5 linked regions of the Macaca fascicularis genome follow. The main gene of each other region encodes a partner of the protein of the gene in region 5 in a complex. Links are inferred from orthologs where the notes say so. Each region holds a gene or a part of one and is shown on either strand. Other genes may lie near its edges. The genes, in order: E3 SUMO-protein ligase RanBP2, XPO5, PKIA, RANGAP1 and XPO1.

Evidence for each region.
Region 1: the proteins of XPO1 (region 5) and E3 SUMO-protein ligase RanBP2 are in contact, whole or in part, in a cryo-EM structure (PDB 9B62), measured with the Homo sapiens proteins. The link is inferred for Macaca fascicularis from reciprocal best matches to the Homo sapiens genes XPO1 and RANBP2. Residues at the interface, in NP_003391.1 of Homo sapiens: Trp60, Val63, Asp64, Leu83, Asn97, Gln98, Gly101, Ile102, Lys104, Tyr105, Val107, Gly108, Ile110, Ile111, Leu134, Phe149, Asp152, Ile153, Gly155, Ala156, Ser157, Arg158, Thr159, Ser160, Glu161, Leu163, Cys164, Asn167, Leu208, Phe211; in NP_006258.3 of Homo sapiens: Val2508, Val2509, Ser2510, Pro2511, Pro2512, Lys2513, Phe2514, Val2515, Phe2516, Gly2841, Phe2842, Gly2843, Ser2845, Thr2846, Gly2847, Leu2848, Ser2849, Phe2850, Ala2851, Leu2853, Ala2854, Asn2857, Ser2858, Gly2859, Asp2860, Phe2861, Ala2862, Phe2863, Gly2864, Ser2865.
Region 2: XPO1 (region 5) and XPO5 share a complex: the UniProt entries of both Homo sapiens proteins name them as parts of the nuclear export receptor complex. The link is inferred for Macaca fascicularis from reciprocal best matches to the Homo sapiens genes XPO1 and XPO5.
Region 3: the proteins of XPO1 (region 5) and PKIA are in contact, whole or in part, in an NMR structure (PDB 2L1L), measured with the Homo sapiens proteins. The link is inferred for Macaca fascicularis from reciprocal best matches to the Homo sapiens genes XPO1 and PKIA. Residues at the interface, in NP_003391.1 of Homo sapiens: Val518, Lys522, Leu525, Cys528, Glu529, Lys534, Lys537, Ala538, Ala541, Ile544, Phe554, His558, Lys560, Phe561, Thr564, Lys568, Phe572, Glu575, Thr576, Val580; in NP_006814.1 of Homo sapiens: Asn36, Leu38, Ala39, Lys41, Leu42, Ala43, Gly44, Leu45, Asp46, Ile47, Asn48, Glu51.
Region 4: the proteins of XPO1 (region 5) and RANGAP1 are in contact, whole or in part, in a cryo-EM structure (PDB 9B62), measured with the Homo sapiens proteins. The link is inferred for Macaca fascicularis from reciprocal best matches to the Homo sapiens genes XPO1 and RANGAP1. Residues at the interface, in NP_003391.1 of Homo sapiens: Lys245, Ser248, Thr249, Tyr252, Lys253, Glu281, Gln282, Val284, Thr285, Leu289, Met292, Gln293, Gln296, Arg340, Asn342, Leu343, Lys514, Val518, Ile521, Lys522, Leu525, Glu529, Arg532, Lys534, Lys537, Ala538, Ala541, Met545, Phe554, His558; in NP_001265580.1 of Homo sapiens: Ala2, Asp5, Ile6, Leu9, Ala10, Thr12, Leu13, Ala14, Thr16, Gln17, Val18, Ala19, Gln22, Leu23, Ser24, Phe25, Lys28, Glu44, Arg55, Ala561, Thr564, Lys565, Pro566, Ser568, Glu571, Ser572, Ser574, Phe575, Arg577, His578.

What each region holds. Positions count from the first base shown.
Region 1 is NC_088387.1:16,208,405-16,212,401, reverse strand, and holds the start of E3 SUMO-protein ligase RanBP2, read right to left. Parts: upstream 2,810-3,997; 5' UTR 2,721-2,809; coding exon 2,649-2,720; intron 1-2,648. UniProt on the Homo sapiens protein: E3 SUMO-protein ligase which facilitates SUMO1 and SUMO2 conjugation by UBE2I. Involved in transport factor (Ran-GTP, karyopherin)-mediated protein import via the F-G repeat-containing domain which acts as a docking site for substrates.
Region 2 is NC_088378.1:127,992,354-127,995,863, reverse strand, and holds part of XPO5 (exportin-5), read right to left. Parts: intron 1,721-3,510; coding exon 1,623-1,720; intron 715-1,622; coding exon 668-714; intron 261-667; coding exon 163-260; intron 1-162. UniProt on the Homo sapiens protein: Mediates the nuclear export of proteins bearing a double-stranded RNA binding domain (dsRBD) and double-stranded RNAs (cargos). XPO5 in the nucleus binds cooperatively to the RNA and to the GTPase Ran in its active GTP-bound form.
Region 3 is NC_088382.1:88,302,058-88,306,362, reverse strand, and holds the start of PKIA (cAMP-dependent protein kinase inhibitor alpha), read right to left. Parts: upstream 2,807-4,305; 5' UTR 2,678-2,806; intron 1-2,677. UniProt on the Homo sapiens protein: Extremely potent competitive inhibitor of cAMP-dependent protein kinase activity, this protein interacts with the catalytic subunit of the enzyme after the cAMP-induced dissociation of its regulatory chains.
Region 4 is NC_088384.1:10,364,314-10,368,539, reverse strand, and holds the end of RANGAP1 (ran GTPase-activating protein 1), read right to left. Parts: intron 4,020-4,226; coding exon 3,898-4,019; intron 1,574-3,897; coding exon 1,504-1,573; 3' UTR 502-1,503; downstream 1-501. UniProt on the Homo sapiens protein: GTPase activator for RAN. Converts cytoplasmic GTP-bound RAN to GDP-bound RAN, which is essential for RAN-mediated nuclear import and export. Mediates dissociation of cargo from nuclear export complexes containing XPO1, RAN and RANBP2 after nuclear export.
Region 5 is NC_088387.1:60,389,895-60,393,404, reverse strand, and holds part of XPO1 (exportin-1), read right to left. Parts: intron 2,181-3,510; 5' UTR 2,175-2,180; coding exon 2,049-2,174; intron 1-2,048. UniProt on the Homo sapiens protein: Mediates the nuclear export of cellular proteins (cargos) bearing a leucine-rich nuclear export signal (NES) and of RNAs.

The sequences.
Region 1 (3,997 bases), about 44 Mb from region 5:
TCTAATGTAAATGACTTTCAATTTGTTTGGGGGAAAAAAAATATTCTTTAAGTGTAAAGAGAGAAGTGGTCATAACAATGAATCCTCAAAATTTTGCCACCACTCCACTTTATTTAATGGAAAAGTTATGTAGTTGAAAGAACATTCTAACTTCTGTCTAGACCAGTGGTTTTTAATCTTTTGGAAGCCAAGGTCCCCCCTAAGAATCTCAGAAAGGCTCTAAGCTTGCTTTTTTTTTTTTTTAAGCTTGTTTAAAAAAAAAAAAAAAAAAACAGGCTGAGCAGAGTGGCTCACACCTGTAATCTCAGCACCTGGGGCCAAGGCGGGAGGATCACTCGAGCCCAGGAGTTGGAGACCAGCCTGGGTAACATAGTAAGACCCCGTCTCTACATTAAAGAAAAAAGTTAGCCGGGCATGGTGGTGCATGCCTGTAGCTGGCATGCCTGTAGTCTCAGCTACCCAGGAGGCTAAGGTGGGAGAATGGATTGAGTCCAGGACGTCAACGCTACAGTGAGCCATGATCCCGCCACAGCACTCCAGCCTGGGAGATAGAAAGAGACCTTGTCTCAAAAATAAAATAATGGATGTTGCAGTGGCTCACGCCTGGAATCCCAACACTTTGGGAGGTGGAGGCAGGGAAATCACTTGAGCCCAGGAGTTCGAGAACAGCCTGGGCAACATGGTGAAATCCAGTCTCTACCAAAAATACAAAACAAAACAAAAAAAAAACAAGCCGGTGTGGTGGGTGCACCTGTGGTACCAACTACTCGGGAGACTGAGGTGGGAGGACCGCTTGAGCTGGGGAGGCGCAAGTTGCAGTGAGTCGAGATAGCGCCACTGCATCCAGCTGGGTGACAAGAGTGAGTGAGACCCCACCTCAAAAAAAAAAAACCATAAAAATTAAAGTCTTTAATTTCAGGAGTTACTGGAACCCTCAATAAGGTCTGTTTTAGACTCTATCACCACGTTCATATTTATGACTACGCCAGCAGTTTGAAATTACAATGTACAAGTAGGTATCTATTCCTCCTCTCTGGAGGAACAGGCTGTAACTTACTCCACTGTTCCCAAGAGAAACTAAATCAGAACCACTGCCAAAATTCTGCTGCACTTCCTATTTGACCCTGAACAGGTATCTTTAATCTCTACAGGTCTCAATATCCACAGGGCTGCTGGAAGCACAAAATAAGATAACCTACACTTAGTTATGATAAAAGACACAATTGTGCTGCTATTATAATCATGGTCATCCGTGAGTTTCCGTTTGTTTTTTTGGTTTTTTTGTTTTTAATTTTTATTTTTGATGGAGTCTCCCTCTGTCGCCCAAGCTGGAGAGCAGTGGCACGATATCGGCTCACTGGAACCTCCGCCTGCCAGGTTCAAGCGACTCTCCTGCCTCAGCCTCCGGAGTACCTGGGACTACGAGCGTGCGCCACCACGCCCGGCTTTTTTTTTTTTTTTTTTTTTTGGATTTTTAGTAGAGACGGTGTTTCAACATGTTAGCCAGGTTGGTCTCGAACTCCTGACCTCAGGCAATCCGCCCTCCTTGGACTCCCAAAGTGGTGGGATTACAGGCGTGAGCCACCGGGCCCCGCCAATATCCTTTTAACATCAACAATAAAAACAGTGACTTGTAGCTAACATTCAGTGCTATGTATCAAGCACAACCCTAAATGTTTAAAATGGATCCTATCAAATTCTATCAATGTTACAACTCCACCTATGGATGGAAAGTGCAACTGGCCCCAAATACCCAGCTTATGAACGACAGGGCTGATTATTCAAGCCAAAGCAAACTGACTCAACATTCTGTGCACATCCACCTTTAATAGCTTCTTCCGTCACTCTTTAGATCCAATTGCTAAAGTCTTACTGAATCCAAAACAGATCACATTATTTACCTATAAAGAGGAAAAATATCCTAAGAACATTTGTGGAAAAGGTTAAAAATTGTAAGCCATACTAACGATTTATAAGAAATTTATAATTTTTTTTTTTAAAGCAAAAGCACCTACCAAACTGTTCTGGGGGTGGGGGAGGTGAGTATGAGGAGTGGAGCTGGACCCTTATAAAGGGACAGCGACAAACATCTCATACTCAAAACAAGGGGACTTCGCGTGTCATTTGCGCCGTCGGGCCGTTGCAAACGTTCGCGCTGAGATCCCTACGTTGTCACTCGTCACAGCCGCCAAAGCGCACCCGGGAGCTGCGTCAGTCCCCACTGGGTTCCCCCAGGCCAAGGAGGTACGACCTCCGCCGCAACACGTAAAATGTCCGGGGGATGGGAAGAATCCCGCCGACATAGCACCCGGGTGCCCAAGCCCCCCGAGAACTAGGCCGCGCGGGTACTACGCGGCGCGCGACCGGCCAGAAAGCCCGGGCCAGGGCGGGCCCACGAGCGAGGACCGTCGGGAACAGGCCGGGAGAAAGAGGAAGCGCCGGCGCCAACGGTCTCCCGCCCACAGCGGTCCCCCCAGGGCTCTCCCTGCGCTTGCCAGCGCCACGCCGCCCACAGGACCGCGCTAGCCGGCCGGCGCCTCAACAGTGCGCGCCAGGGAGCAGCGCCCGTCGGGAGCCATGACGCCCGAGCCTCGCGAGGCCGCCGCCCGGCCAGGTCGAAGCCGTCGGTCTCTTCGAGATCCACTCACCTCTCGAGGCGACGGGGCGGAGCCCTGCACCGAGGCGATGTACCGCTCCACGTCGGCCTTGCTGCGCCTCATCGCGCCGCCAACCTGGCTCCCGAGGCGCGGGAGACCAGCGCTCAGCCCCGCAGCAGTCGCAACTTCCAAGAGGAAAGCGCCTGCAAACCAGTGACGCAGCGACGTCGCCGGCGGAGGACCATCCCGACGAACTTGCGTACTGCGTCAGCACTGTGCGCCACGTTGGCGACGTCGGCGCTAGAGCTGCACACAGCCGGGCTCTTGGTAGCTCCCTGGGTTCTGAGCGGTGTCTTGGGAAGCCGGGATCAGATTTCGGCCCCCGCGTCCACAGCGTGGGGGTAGATTTCCAGCAGATAACAATTTGCGTGATGGGCTCTTAAGCGTTTTGGTCGCTTGTTCTAAATTATAAGTGCGCCACGCATTGGAAGAAAAAAGCACTCAGGCCAAGTTGGTGAGCGTGTAAATTGGAACAACGTTTCTGGAGATGACTGGTTAAATACGTTGCATCGGACGTGTGAATACTAAAGTATACATTTTAAAATTCGTATTTATTAAAAGAAATGAGGGCCGGGCGTGGTGACTCACGCCTGTAATCCCAGCACTTTGGGAGGCCGAGGCGGCCGGATCATGAGGTCAGGAAATCGAGACCATCCTGGTTAACCCAGTGAAACCCCATCTCTACTAAAAATACAAAAAAAAAAAAAAAAAAAAAAATCAGCGGGACGGGGTCGCACGCACCTGTAGTCCCAGCTACTCGGGAGGCTGAGGCTGGAGAATCGCTTGAACCTGGGAAGCGGAGGTTGCAGTGAGCAGAGATTGCGCCACTGCCCTCCGCTTGGGCGACAAAGCAAGACTCCGTCTGAATTTAAAAAAAAAAAAAAAATTGGCTGGGCGCGGTGGCTCAAGCCTGTAATCCCAGCACTTTGGGAGGCCGAGATGGGCGGATCACGAGGTCAGGAGATCGAGACCATCCTGGCTAACACGGTGAAACCCCGTCTCTACTAAGAAATACAAAAACTAGCCGGGCGAGGTGGCAGCGCTTGTAGTCCCAGCTACTCGGGAGGCTGAGGCCGGAGAATGGCGTGAACCCGGGAGGCGGAGCTTGCAGTGAGCTGAGATCCGGCCACTGCACTCCAGCCTGGGCTACAGAGCGAGACTCCGTCTCAAAAAAAAAAAAAAAAATTTAGAATTGCATAATGAAAAAGTAGGCCACAAATACTAAGTTTTGGACAATTACAATTTTTTAAAGTCATCCCTTGGCGGGGGATTGGTTCCAGAACCACCGGTTTATGCCAAAACCCACGCATTCCGCTGGGCGCGGTGGCTCACGCCTGTAA
Region 2 (3,510 bases), on a different chromosome or scaffold from region 5:
CCATGTTGGCCAGGCTGGTCTCGATCTTTTGACCTCGCAATCCACCATGCCAGGCCGCAAACATGAATCCTTTGCATTAGTCAGGCCTTCGTGGAGTTGGCTGAGTGACCAGCTCTTTTCCAGGAAAATTCTCTATAGCCCCAGTTTCTACTTGCCACTTACTGATTAGGTCCATGACTTCTCGGGTTAACATCCTCACCAGTTGTTCCTCCAGCATCTCTTGAGACTCTGGGTTTTCATCTGCAGCCTCATCTTCTCCACTGCAGAAAACCAGAGGGCCAAGTTCCACAGGAGTGCAGAAAGAAAGCAGTGACCCTAATCAGACTCTCTGTGACCACTTTCTTCGAGTCTTCGTTTTATGCAAAAGTTGGGAATGGACAGCAGTGATCCACTGAAGGACATTATTACTAGTGATTCTGTCCAGTTGGATAGACATTACAGAATCAAAATAAGTGAGTAAGGTAACAGTAGCCCCTATAAAGGCTGGATCTCAGTCTGCCTGCTGGTCACAGCCTGTCCAGACAAGCCATGTATCACCTAGACTGAGAATGACTACAACCTACTGCTCTTCTACCCTGCGACAGCAGAATCCCTGCCCGCTTCCTTTCCCCACCCCAAATCTGGCTGCCAGCTCATCCACCAAGAAGAGTGGGTAGGTATCCCTTACCAGAGCAGGCTCCTTTGGTTGATAACTTGCCATTTCTGGGAAAGCCTCTGGGAAAACACAAAGGAAATAAATGCTAGAATTGGGGAAAGGATTGGAATACATAGTATCTAAAGTCAAGTCCACTTCATGATTAAAGTTAGCCAAGGATGATTCTAGACATCAACGACAACCTCTGTAGACTCCACACCACAAGGTTAAAAAAACCATCTATGGGCCGGGCGCGGTGGCTCAAGCCTGTAATCCCAGCACTTTGGGAGGCTGAGACGGGTGGATCACGAGGTCAGGAGATCGAGACCATCCTGGCTAACACAGTGAAACCCCGTCTCTACTAAAAATACAAAAAAAACTAGCCGGGCGAGGTGGTGGGCGCCTGTAGTCCCAGCTACTCGGGAGGCTGAGGCAGGAGAATGGCTTAAACCCAGGAGGCAGAGCTTGCAGTGAGCTGAGATCCGGCCACTGCACTCCAGCCTGGGCAACAAGAGCGAGACTCCGCCTCAAAAAAAAAAAAAAAAAAACCATCTATGGTTTCTATAACCTGTCCCACATCCATGCTGAGGGTGGTATCTCAAACACTTCTTTGCTTGGAAAGAATTAACAATTTTAGAATTCCTGGGTCTCCCAGCCAGTCCCCTGTTTAATTCCAGAGTCAGGATAACAGACCTAGCATTCCTGGCAAGGGTCTGTGAGCAAGCATTCCTCTTTTTACCTTTCCTCAGTTAACAGGAGGTTAGGAGCAGAATCTGCAACTGAAGCTGCCTTGTGGCAATTAAATCAGTTTAGTTCTTTGGGAGCTGCTCGATCCTACAGCAAGGATAGTCTGCTGGGGTAGAAGCTTTGCCCAGCCAGTCTGGCAGGGCTAGGAGACAACACTTCTAGGAGCTCCTGACTTGCAAGGGTCAAAAATGGCCACAGGCCTTAATAGTACTCTTTGCTTCCTGTTCCTGACTTATCTTACCATATGGAGGTAGGTGAAAAGAGGTCCGAGGATGGGGGATACCAGGGCTTCATAGTGCTCTGGGGGACAGAAGAGCACCAGAGGCTTTACAAAGACCCGTGCTGCAGCAAGTTAAGAAATTTTAGTGCATAAGTACACATCCCTCACCTGTCAGGTGGTGGGCTGCACCCCTGGGCACAATCAATCCCTAAAAGATTTACCAGATGTCAAAAATATCCTGTGTTAACAGTGAAAAATCTTAAAGTTCTTTTCCTAAAATCCTAAATGGCACTGATATTCAATTCCATTATACTCTTAGTTTAGCAGGACTTCCGTCAGGCTGCACATTATGGTCCCTGGCCAGAAAGTAGGAATAAAAAAATAGGAAGGAGGACATCCTTGTAACAAATCCTCCTTCACCATTCTCCTTATAATTTCAGGTTTAAGAAACACTCAGCAGCTGCGGTGGCTCACACCTGTAATCCCAGCACTTTGGGAGGCTGAGGCAGGTGGATTACAAGGTCAGGAGAGCGAGACTATCCTGGCTAACATGGTGAAACCCCATCTCTACTAAAAAATACAAAAAAAAAAAAAAAATTAGTCGAGCGTGGTGGCGGGCGCCTGTAGTCCCAGCTACTCGGGTGGCTGAGGCAGGAGAATGGCGTGAACCCAGGAGGTGGAGCTTGCAGTGAGCCGAGATTGCGCCACTGCACTCCAGCATGGGCGACAGAGGGAGACTTCATCTCCCAAAAAAAAAAAAAAAAAAAAAGAGGAAAGACAGAGATTCAACTAGTAATAGGGGTCTGAATGAGAATGAAGTGTGAAAGTGCTTCTTCTGGCTGGGTGTGATGGCTCAGGCCTGTAATTCTAGCACTTTGGAGGCTGAGGCAGGATTATTTGAGCCCAGGAGTTTGAGACCAGCTTGGGGAACATAATGCAGACCCCATCTCTACAAATAATAATAAAAAAATAGCTGGGTGTGGTGGTGCACATCTGTGGTCCAGTCCAAACTCCTCAGGAAGCAGAGGTGGGAGGACCACTTGAGCCTGCAGTGAGCTTTGATAGCACCACTGCACTCCTGCCTAGGTAACACTGAGACCCTGTCTCAAAAAAAAGCAAGTGCTTCTAGGCCGGGCGCGGTGGCTCAAGCCTGTAATCCCAGCACTTTGGGAGGCCGAGGCGGGTGGATCACGAGGTCAGGAGATCGAGACTATTCTGGCTAACATGGTGAAACCCCGTCTGTACTAAAAATACAAAAAACTAGCAGGGCGTGGTGGCAGGCGCCTGTAGTCCCAGCTACTTGGGAGGCTGAGGCGGGAGAATGGCGTGAACCCGGGAGGCGGAGCTTGCAGTGAGCCGAGATCCAGCCACTGCACTCCAGCCTGGGAGACACAGCGAGACTCCGTCTCAAAAAAAAAAAAAAAAAAAGCAAGTGCTTCTAAAAACACAGAAAAGGGATAAAAGTTTTATGTTTCACAGCTGGGCATGGTGGCTCATGCCTGTAATCCCAGCACTTTGGGAGGCCGAGGCAGGCGGATCACTTGAGGTCAGGTGATGGAGACCAGCCTGGCCAACGTGGTGAAACCCTGTCTGTATTAAAAATACAAAAATTAGGTTGGGCACGGTGGCTCACACCTGTTACCCCAGCACTTTGGGAGGCCGAGGCGGGCAGATCACTTGAGGTCAGGAGTTTGAGGCCAACATGGCGAAAACCTGTCTCTACTAAAAATACAAAAAAATTAGCTGGGCGCAATAGCATGTGCCTGTAATCCCAGCTACTTGGGAGGGTGAGGCACAAGAATCACTTGAACCCAGGAGGTGGAAGTTGCAGTAAGACAAGATCGTACCACTGCACTCTAGCCTGGGCAATAGAGCAAAACTCTGTCTCAAGAAATAGAAATATGCACGC
Region 3 (4,305 bases), on a different chromosome or scaffold from region 5:
GGGCAACTTTGACTCCTAAATTTTTACTCTCTAAATTTCTGGTAACACTGCCTAGCAGACTAAACTTTTTTTTTTTTTTTTTTTTTTTTTTTTTTTTTTTCATAAACACAATTGGAAAGCAGTAGATTGACTTCAGTTCTATCTTGTCAAACACAAAAATGCCTGCAGTTCATTTAGTATCTAGTCATTTAGCATCTAATCATGCACATCCTTCCATTTTTCATTCCTCTTTCAATTCTGAACACCAGCCAATTAGTTTTTCCTCTCCCTAGGAAACATTTTAAGGAAAGGAAATAAAGTCATAAATCAGTTTCAGACATAAAATCATACATACATTTCTGCTTAGGCTTCTAAATTTAGAAACTTTCCTCAAACTTGTTTAAACATAACAAAGTCCAAATTCAGAAATCCCTTCAGTTTGATTATCTTCCTCAGTTGTACTAAAATGAAAATTAAATTTTCTAACTTGTTTTCTTCTTAACAAGATTTCTCCAACTCCAATTCATAAATTGTTGGGTTCAACTCACCTGCAAAATCACTAGCAAGTATTATTCCACCGTAGGCAGCACCAGTCTCCTAATCCTGAAACTATTTCCTGCCAAAGAGTTTTGTTTCTTCAGAAAGTAAATGATAGACACTTCGAATTTCTAACCATCATTAGGATATTCTCACGCACTTGCTCTTCAACAGAAAGGTGACTGTCAACATTATAGAAACTGCATTGTATTTCTAAGATCAATTGTACTAATCTGCATGTCATATACCTTAGGTTTATTTAGAATAATTATATTAAAATTATTCTTCTATATTAATATTTATTATTCTTCAGCATAATGATGTATATGGTTAAGTATTTTAATACTAGAAAAAAGGTGGTAGAATAGAGGGTTTTTTGTTGATCTTGTTCTTTGTTACCTTTTAATGTGACTGAGTAAAAATTCTAGAATCTCAAGAAGTTAATATTCCAAACCAAAACCCTATTTGACACATAATAATAACAAAAAAGGGACCTGACTGACCCCAAGGGACAGTTCCTGGAGTGGGTCACTCAGTAGTGGGCTTTGCCCCCCCCCCCACACACACACCCTATGCCTCATATACTGAAGATGGAGACAAAGAAACAAATTCAAATATTTCGAAAGTGTATTTTGTAAAAAAAGAAATTTGCAATCAGAAAGGCAAGAATGATATATAATATGATTAACATGATTTTCCATACTAGTATCTTTGTTTAAAAATAATAGTCAAAGAGGAAAATAAGCAGAGGTAAAATTTTAAGCTACCAATTCTGCCCCTCTTTTTCATTGATCTTCTAATTTAATTTACTGAAATAAAATTGCATGGCTGTTGAGTCAGTCTCTCTAATTTCAAGTTTTAAAGATAACAGATCTCCCTTTAAATAGAACATTGGCACACAGATACCCCACAATCTGGCTTATTGCAACTGTTCTCTGTTGGTGAAGTGGCAGCACGTTTGCAATCCCCATAACAGCCATCTTAACCATTTCACAGCATATTATTCAAATGTACATCTCTAGGTGGCAACAAGGATAGGCACTTGGGCTCAGTAGCAAGGGGTCTGTAGGGAAAATCCTAGGATGAAGGATAGGAACCTGCAAATGGCAAGACAAACTAGAGGATACTCAAATAACCAGGGGCTTAGATTGGGCAGCTCCATTGGCTTTCTGACTGCCTACGGGGAAAGCCTCACTGGAAACTCTTTTGAGGTTATCGAGGAATCCTAGAGGCAAACGGACTCCCCTACCTTTTAGAAACGATTTGTCCCAAATCTTAACAGTTAGCTGTCTCAAAACCCAGCTGGACTAAAATTGCTTCAAGAAAAACTGGATGGACTGGCATTCACATTTTTACTTCTACCTATGCCTATGCGTAGGGAACATCCCTCACACTCCAGTGGATTCTATGTGTCCTCTCTAGCTTGCAAGTAGCCACAGTGACTACAGCGAACGGAGTTAATGGGCTACCATGTTGGTACAGGGCTACAAACAGGATATTTCATTCCATGCATTTGGGGGAAGGACACAGGTAACAGTATACAGGTAGAATACCGAATAAGAAATCTGTGTGAGGCAATGCCCTTTTTGGGACCTTGACAAAATCAGTCATGGAACCCAGGTAGCGGATAAGAGCTGACAAGAGTTGGCCTGTGAATGGGCACAGCATCTCCGAAAAAGATCAATGAAATGATTGACAGAGAAAATGGCAAATGAAGGGAGAAGCGATGTCAAGTGCTGCTCAACCCAAGCTGAACTCCAGGAGATAAGAGAAGTTTCCCCTCCAAATACAGGCTCTTTCTAAAGGTTCAGTCTTGAAGCAGGTGTTTTGACATTGAGAGGGGCACAGAAGGAAGAGAGTAATTCAAATTATTTTACATTTTGAGTCCTCTTCACTGTCTACGCGAATCTGGCACTGAAATGGTAGATCACGTTCAAAAGTGTATAGAGGCAAGAACGCCTTCTTTGTTTGCCCAGTAACACTGCTCCTCCAACCTCTGCACTTGGTCTCCTAACATTTCCATCCTAGTTGCTGCTCCTTTTCCCATTGCAGAAAGCAGTGGGGTTCTCCCCTTCTTCCCTCCGAGCTGCAAACCCCATTATTAACCAAGCGGAAAGCTCCACGCAGTGTGGCCAGGGAGCACCGAGGCTGGGCTGCTTACCTTCCCCGGACCTAGTCAGCGCAGGTTCCCGCGCCCGCCGCCACGGGACGGAGTCCCGCCGCGCCCGCCGAGTGCTCGGTCAGCTCGCTCCGGCCCGCGCCCCACCTGCCAGCTGCAGCCGTCGCTCCCGCCGCGGAGCTCTGGCCGCATGAAGTCATCCCCGCCCCGGGCCGGATCACCACATTCCGCGCCAGCCGCAGGGGGAGCGGGGCCGCTCCCGACCCCACGGAAGGCAGCCTGAAACTGGCACCCAACGATCGCTGCCCCCCCGAGGTTGTGGGTTGGTTTTCTGTTAATGCTTTTACAGTTGCAGCATTGCTGGATTATGGACCGAGAGAGAAGAGCCGGGGGGAGGGGGGGGCTCTCTCTGCATAGCGTCCTTCCTCTGAGCGCTCCCCCATCACCCCGGCTGCATGGACTGCTCCATTCGCCAGTGTGGGTTTCCCACCCTCTTCATCTTCCTTATCAGCATTGTTCATTTGGCTGAATTTGAGAGCAGGAATTGTCTTTTAAGATAAACATTCAAGCACTACAAGAACATTTTAAATTGGTAATGAAGCTTTCTAAGCCCTTCATAGCTGGCTCCATCACCCGCCCCCCCCAACAGACACACATGCACACACGCACACACATACACGTACACACACAGCCCAACCACTCACAATTTTGAAAGCTAGAACCTTTCGTCTACGTAATAGAACGGGAATCTCCCAAAAGACTGGAGAAGTGGGGCCAACCGGAGAAAGTGCTCAAAGAAGCAGCAGGGTGGCCCCATGATTTTGTTGTGTTTATGGTGCACTTGTGCACAGATGTTCCCTCTAACATCTCTTCCTCCTATTCCCTCTGCTCTGGACCCCCTCCCTTCCCTGCCACATAATTGGACAAACCGTTGTGGTGACAGCTGTAACATTTGGAAATCAAAATGCAGAATCTACATTAGCAGATGACTGTATCTCTTTCTTTCCCTAAGGATTTATGAAATTTGCCTTGGGAATGAAACAAGCGTGTGTTCATATAAGCCCTTATTAACAAGATTGTTCTCTCTCCCCACCCCACCCCCACCCCCACCCCCACTCCCACCCCCACCCTCCACTTTTGCTTCTTTCCCAAATCTTTTCTGGTGTGAGGGTTGAATGTTTAAGGAAAAATGAGCCTAAATTTGCTCTCTTTGTAGCTGAGCCAGGGATTCCCCCTAGCTGTTGAGTAATTTTCTAGCAGGGAGGTTCCTTGACACTAGGGTTCTGTGGAATGGAGTTCCCTCTTTTAACTTGCCTTGCTGTTCGAATTGACCATCACTTGATACAGGCCAGTTTTACACTATAGATTTGTCCAGCAACCTAAATAGTGCAATTGCACAAGGCCAGGGAAGCACCTTTGCTAAATGAAATGTTTCTATCCATCAGTCCAAAAGTTAGGTAGTAATGTAGCCAAGAGCTTTCCAAGAAAACTTAGAATTCTTGGCCATAGAATGTATGCTCTTTGAAAGTTAGAACAGCTTAATTCATCGCTCTGAGACTCACTTTCATAACATTAGGTCATTAATATTATCATAGAGCAGGAGATTCTTAATCTGTATAAAAGGGGTATATGAATAGAATTCCAGAGTGTGGAATTTGGATGGGAAAATT
Region 4 (4,226 bases), on a different chromosome or scaffold from region 5:
ACCACGTTATCCAGGATGGTCTCAATCTCCTGACCTCGTGATCCACCCTCCTCAGCCTCCCAAAGTGCTATGATTACAGGCATGGGCCACCACGCCTGGCCAAGGGACTTCTTCTTGGAGGCCATTTGTGGGGGACATGGGCTCCCCAAGCACACACATGGCATAGGGCAGGAGGTAAGGAAGGTTGGCTGGGCTGCCCTCACATATGTGGCAGTGGAGCAAAGGACCCCAAGGGAGGTGGCTGCCTTAGTGAAGGAGCAACGCAGGAGCCAAGAGAGCTGCAGCCCAAAGGCAGGGTGCTGGGTGAGGTGTGGCCAGGCAGGAAAATGGGTCCTCATTCAGGACTGCCACTGCCCAGGTGGTGGCCTGAGGCCGAGGCCGGGCCCTTCGCAGGGCTGACTGCCCTCACAGACTGCTGTGGCGCCGTGTGCTCTGCCGAGGTGGGACTCCACGTATGATGGCCCCCGAGACTATCCCGCTTTAGGTCAGAGTTTGAGTCTCTGAAGCTGTACACATGACTTTATTTGTGAAGCCCCCGGGCACAGCCCAGACACACACAGAACACAAAGGGGAAAGCATGGGGCAGTCACGGGCACGCAGGGAGGTTGTACAGCATCTGCCCAGTCCAGACCCCACTGCTCCCCTGCGCCAGGAGGTCCTTCAAGAGCAGCGTCCAGATACGGCTCGGACACTGGGGACCCTGCCCCTCCCTCCACAGACTGGACAACAGCTTTGGGTTGTCAACACACCCCCTCCAGCTTGGCCCCCAGGCCAGTCACAGACAACATCTCAGCAGCCAGGAGAGGGTCCGCTAGGTCCGGGGCCAGCGCAGTTCCAGCAGCTCCTGCTCCTGGACAATCTGGTGTCTGCCTGGCCACACGGCATGGGGCCCAGGGTTGCCCTCTGCCAGCAGCCCCATGATCCCACCCCCACAGTCCCACCCATGGTATTCTCTGCTCTTCAGGCTGAGCGCTCAGCACAGTGGCATGGATGGTAGGGAGGACAGCTGCTGCAGGACCAGGGCTTGGTGACGAGAAGCAGCCGCAGGCAGGACAGGAAACAGCCCAGTCACAACACAGAGGGGAAGGACAGCACGCGGGCAACTCCCTGGGCTCTGGCTCCGCCAGGGAGCCGGGCTGGAAGGCAGGTGGGTGGGGACAGCCATCAGGGCCCAGGTGGAGATCAGCAGAGCGCCGTCAGGTGAAGGTGAGTTTAATGGCGGAGCAGCTCACAGTCCTTTCCCCTGGGGGCCAACTCCCCACAACAGAGCAGAGCCAGGCCAGCAGAGAGAGGTTCAAACCCAAATCCCGACAGGAGGCACAGACCTGCACGCGTACCACACCTACACACATATTCAGGGGACTGACAGGACACACGGGACGCAGACCCGCCCTGCCTCTGACCAGAGTCCTGTCCAAGGCAACGGCGTGGGTTGTGCCTCAGTTCCTCCGAGTCCCTCCCCAGCTCACTGGTCCAGGCCAAGGGATGGGAGAGGCTTTGAGTCTAGACCTTGTACAGTGTCTGCAGCAGACTGTGGCGGGCAAAGGAGCAGGATTCCAAGGCGCTGTTGGGCCTGCGGGGAAAGAAGGGTCAGCAGGTGGGATGGATGCCTCTTGGCCCCCGTTTTCCAAGTGTGGGGGCCATTTTGGTACCAGACTCATTTTTGTTAATTTGCACAATGACTCAGCAAGGGAGACATTGCTGATGACTCAGCAAGGAAGACAGCAAGGGAGACTGCACGTTGTGGGTGGGGGTAGGAGGGGTGAGAGGTAGGCACCCAAGGCCACACAGCCCAGAGCTGGCCACAACACAGCCCCACCTCAGCCAGGCTCTTCAAGGGCCTTTCCAGCAGACATAGGCCAGGGAATCCTCACTGGCTGCCAGTGGCCTCACATGACTGGCCCACTAGAGTCCAATCTGGGTCATAAGTAAATGGCTAGCCATTGTTTTTTGGTTGTTTTTTTCTTGAGACAGGGTCTCTCTTTGTTGCCCAGGCTGGAGTACAGTCCTGGAATCACGGCTCCCTGCATCCTCGACTTCCCAGGCTCAGGTGGTCCTCCTGCCTCAGCCTCCCAAGTAGCTGGGACCACAGATACACACCACCATACCCAGCTAATTTTGTATTTTTTGTAGAGACGGGGTTTCACCAATGTTGCCGAGGCTGGCCTCGAACTCCTGGGCTCAAGTGATCTTGCCTCAGCCTCCCAAAGTGCTGGGATTACAGATAGGAGCCACTGCGCCTGAGCTCCCCATTGTTGCCCTCAATATCATTAGTTTCACTGCAAAGAAAGAAACTGAGGCAAGACTCTGGGGCACTGGGCAAGTGTGGGACGCAGCCAGGACCAGGCCTGACAACACCTCTGGCCTGTAGCTGATGAACAGGCCAGGATCTGCACCAGGCCTGGGATCCCAATTTGGCTGGGAGCTGAGGGAAGAGGGGCCGTGCATGTCACTACAGAGTTAATCCATCACCTCGGACGAGACCTGGGGGGCAGACTGAGGCCTGTGCTGGAGGTTGGGCAACAAGCTGGGAAAAGGCATTCTGCTCTAACAGGGCCGAGGGGCTCATGCCCAGACTTAGGACAGCACAGGGGCTGCCAGAGATGCAGAGGGAACCACTCTGACCAGGGAGTAGGAAGGACACAAAGGACTCAGGTGCAGGTACAGGGAGGGGCTGGGGCCACTGGCCAAACAAGCTCTGGATAGCGTGGACAAAGCTCGGCACCGCAGCAATGGCATTGCTGTGGAAAGGGGTTCAGGGGGCGCACACTGTGCTGGGGTGGGGTGGGGTGAGGGTGAGGCTGTGGCCAGCCACAAGATTCACAGTGAGGCTTGACCTGGCCCCTGGCAGAGGAGGGAGACAGTGAGATCTGCCATTCACCAAGGCCAGTCCAGCTGCAGCCCAAGGAGTGGTCTGGGTGGGGGGCACGCGGCCAGAAGGTAAGGCCTGGCTAAGGAGACAGCGCCGTGCGGACAGACACTCCAGACGCTGGGGTGGACAGGGCTGCTCACACTCCACCAGCCCCGCCTCCCCACATGCACCAAGCATCCTGCCTCGGCCGGTGGGCTCTGGGCTCCCCCAGCAAAGGGACTTTCTTGCTCCTCTACCTGCCCCACTTCCCCGGATGGCGCCGACTGACTGGAAGTGTGGCTGGTCAGGGTGCTTGGAGACAATTTCACCTAACCCTCCGGTTGGGCAAATGGGGAGACTGAGGCCTGATGAAGGCCACAGGTTGGCCAGGGGCCACACAGGGCCCCATGAGGGTGTACGGGGCAAGCCTCCCCACCCCTGGTGGGGCCTTGGCTCTGTTACTTGACTGTGCCCATCACCCCATCAATGCCCCAGGACTCCCCAGGACCATCCAGAACAAGGCCAAGGTTCCTACATTGCTGGGCATTTTGGCGGCTCCCGGGGCAATGTGTGTCCCCAGGAGAGGGCCTGGGGCTGCAGGGCCTAGTGTGACTGGGCCCCTTCGGCCTGCACTACTGTGAGCATGGACAAAAAGCCCCTCCAGAGATGTCACCACGCATAGCACCTTGCTCACAGACGTGGGTCTGGACACTGGCCCAGCCTCTTCCTAGTGTGTGACCAAGGGAAACTCTTTAACCAACCCGGTGCTCCTTTCCTCATCGGCAAAATGGGGGCGTTACATGTCTCCTCTCTCACTGCCCCTGAGCCCTACTGTCCTCAGCTAGGCAGAGGGGAGCGGGCCTCCCGAGGGTGGTGAGACTCCAACACAGATGCTGAGAGCCCAGGAAGCATGAGGGCCTCTTGTGCACCCGAGCAGGGCCAGCAGGCTGGCTGGGCTGGACCTCCTGGGACTGGAGGCCTTTGGACCTGGCCAGAGAAGCCTGAGAGGACAGGCCGCGGCAGAAGGACAACAGGGCCACACTCACTTGGTTATGAATGCCAGCAGCAGGGGTGCAAGGGCCTTGGGGAAATAGTCCTGCTGCACCATGTGGTTCAGTGCCATCAGGGGGCCGTACAGGTTGGCAATGGCCTTGACCTTATCTTCACTCTGTGAGGGGAACACAGCGAAAGGCGGGGTGAGCGTCAAGTTCACCTGGGCGGCCCCTGGACTCCACCATCCAGACTCTGCGGGCGGTGCTCACAACTGAGTCCAGCCGGAACCTCATCATGAAGATCGAGGCTGCTGGGGCGGACCCAGGCCTCAGGGCCCAGTGGGTGAGACGGCTCAGGACTCGAGGTGAGGGAGGCTGGCAGG
Region 5 (3,510 bases):
ACAAACCATTAAATTTCTTAATACTATGAAACATTATTAAAAGCAGTATTACTGTAATATATTCTCAATTATAAAAATTACCACTAATTCTGTTATAAGCCATGAAGAACACTGCTCTGTTGGTTTATTTATCATACCTTTAGATGTAGTGAACTAGCTTAGTGCAAAGATTAAATAGTATTAGTAGCTGAATCTATGTGGAAAAAATTAAATGCCTTTTTCCCCAATGGCTACAGACCTGTGCTTCCAATATTATATTCAAAATTGAACCCAACCTTACTTTCATAGCTTCCTCCAAAAGCAGCTGTTTTCTATGCATCCATGCTAGAAGAAATGAAGCTTAAAGCTTCATATTGAATGTACAGCATGAGTAACAACTAAATGACAGGGATAATAAATACTGACGGATAATTTTTTCAAGAATGCTTTTGGAGATAAAGTACTGATCAAAACGCCCTAAGAGTATAAACCCGGACTAACAAGCTTACAGAATCACTGCAGAGTAATGTTTTCTGCTTTTAGAGCTTCCACAGCCCTTTTTCAAGTTTCCACTATAGTGAAAGCAGTATTGTTAGATTCCACAAGGGAATGGAAACATTTATACATGATGCTTTTTGGACTACCTATAAAAGATAGTACTATATGCATCTTACATGTTTTCAAAAAGTGTAATGGCACTCAGTTTCTTAATTATGCAAATACAAATATCTTGACAATATAAGTAACCTCATATCTATTAGCTGAACATTCATCTAACCAGAAATCTACTGTTCTGGCAACAAAACTACCTTAAAAGATTTCTGGACAGGCGTGGTGGCTCATGCCTGTAATCCCCACACTTTGGGAGGGCAAGGCAGGCGGATCACGAGGTCAGGAGATGGAGACCATCCTGGCCAATATGAAATCCATCTCTACCAAAATACAAAAAATTAGCTGGGCGTGGTAGTGCGCCGGTAGTCCCAGCTACTCGGGAGGCCGAGGCAGGAGAATTGCTTGAATCTGGGAAGCGGAGGTTGCAGTGAACCAAGATTGTGCCACTGCACTCAAGCCTGGTGACAGTACGAGACTCCATCTTAAAAAAAAAAAACAAAAAAAAAGATTTCTGACCCAACTGCAGAACTTTTTACTCATTCAAAAACATGTTTGGGCTGGCGTAAGGTGGCTCATGCCTGTAATCCCAGCACTTTGGGAGGCCGAGGCAGGTGCATCACCTGAGGTCAGGAGTTCCAAGACCAGCCTGGCCAACATGGTGAAACCCCGTCTCTACTAAAAATACAAAAATTAGCCAGGCATAGTGGCGCGCGTCTGTAATCCCAGCTAGCAGGGAGGCTGAGGCAAGACAATCACTTGAACCCAGGAGGCAGGGGTTGCAGTGAGCCAAGATCATGCCACTGCACTCCTGCCTGGGACACAGAGCAAGACTCTGTCTCAAAAAAAAAAACAAAAAAAAAGTTTGGCCCCACAGGTAAAAAATCAAGTTTTTTTTTTCTTGTGACACATACAATTTAAAATTTTACACACATTTCTGTTTCACCTTTTCGTTGGGTTCAAAAAAGCGAAAAACTTAAACTGATCAAAGCATGGTTTATGTTCAAGATAATTCCCTACATTAACAGTACCACTTAGAAAAGTGTATGAAATTCAACTAACATAAAAATACTTGGTATTCCTGTTTTTAATTAAACAAACATGTCTGTGAAGTACTTCTGTAAATGTTTTAAAAGTAGAAGAATCATATTAGCTCCAAACATATTAAGTATATATAAAAGTACAGAGAACCTTTAATACCTACAAAGTATTTAATAACATTCGGCTCTTAAGGACAGAACAAGTATAAGAATAGTATTTCAAAACAACCCAATGTAACCATATCAAACATTATGCAATTTTTTTCTCCAAACCAATTCTCATTATGGTTAATATAGAATTCCAAATTAACACAAACTATGGAATATCTTTTTTAAAGGTGATAATTTAAAATTTTATTCTAAACCCAACAACTCTGTTACACTGTCAAAATGTTATAAAGTTTTCGTTGGTTACTTTACCTGGGCTCCTTCTCCATGGTATAAGCAATTCACCACATTATCTAATAAGTTGATATCCAGTTTTTGGCTGAAATCGAGCAGCTGACGAGCTGCATGGTCTGCTAACATTGTCATAATTGCTGGCATAGATTACTGAAAATAAAGAAAAAACATTGAAGCTGCCTATGAAGTTTTGGAATTATCAGAAACTTCCTACAAGTTATTTTACTTCAACCATGTTATTACAAATATTTTAATGAATACTTTAGAGACTTTAATTACAAAAAACAGAAAGTAAAAGCCAGTAACATAAGCTGAAATTACTTAGCTATTTGATAATTACATAAATTATTATGGTCCATTCAACTTTTCTAGTGTTTTGTTTATACACCAGAAAGACTCCCCTATTCTACTAACATTTATAAAGTATGCTAACCTATTATTTAAATGCATCCACTATTAGGATTTTATGGTCCTAAAACATGATACAGTTCAGTATCTTGATGTCCAAACTTCTTAAGCAAGTAGGATTAAGTTCAAGTGAATGTGTTTTTCTTTTCTTCCCAACTAGGGTCTTCTGGATAACTCAGTAAAAGCTCACTTCACATTATCTTAACTTTATAAAAATAATTCTATAAAGACAGAATGGGCTGAGCGCAGTGGCTCACACCTGTAATCCCAGCACTTTGGGAGGCCGAGGTGGGCGGATCACTTGAGGTCAAGAGTTCCAGACCAGCCTGGCCAACAATGGCAAAACCCCATCTCTACTAAAAATAGAAAAATTAGTCAGGCGTGGAGGCAGGCGCCTGTAATCCCAGCTACTCAGGAGGCTGAGGCAGGAGAACTGCTTGAACCCAGGAGATGGAGGTTGCAGTGAGCCAAGATGCGTCACCCCACTCCAGCCTGGGCAACAGAATTGAGACTCCATCTCAAAAAACAAACAAAAAAAGACAGAATGACGTTAAAAATCAAAATGTGGATATACAGTAATTCCTATCGTCTACAGCAATGGTTAGCAGGAACCACAAGTCTAACATATCTTGGTATAAATCCCCTTAGCCTCTACAGAAATAACTTAGTTTCTACACTCAAACCATTCAAATTGTTTCAACCCTCAATGAATTGGGGGATTGAAATTACATCTACAATCATATTTACTGAATATATAATCTAGGAAAAAAAACTTTACGGGCAATATGCCTAACAAGATTCATTGGCAAGTTAAAAGCTGTAAAAGCCTGCCCATTCCCAAATAAAAAAGAATTCTAAGAGAAAAATGAGCTACTTCGCCAAAATATGTACTGGTTAAAACCTACTAGTTCATATGCAACGCTATCCTTTTAAGAGGATTCTACTCTAAGATGCTGGCACACATCCAACTTTTTGTTGCCCAGAATTATAAAAAATATCTTTCCTCTGCTTTTCTTCAAAGCCAATGCCACTCAAACCTAACTGGTTAAGTCAGTAGTCCTTAACCTTTTTT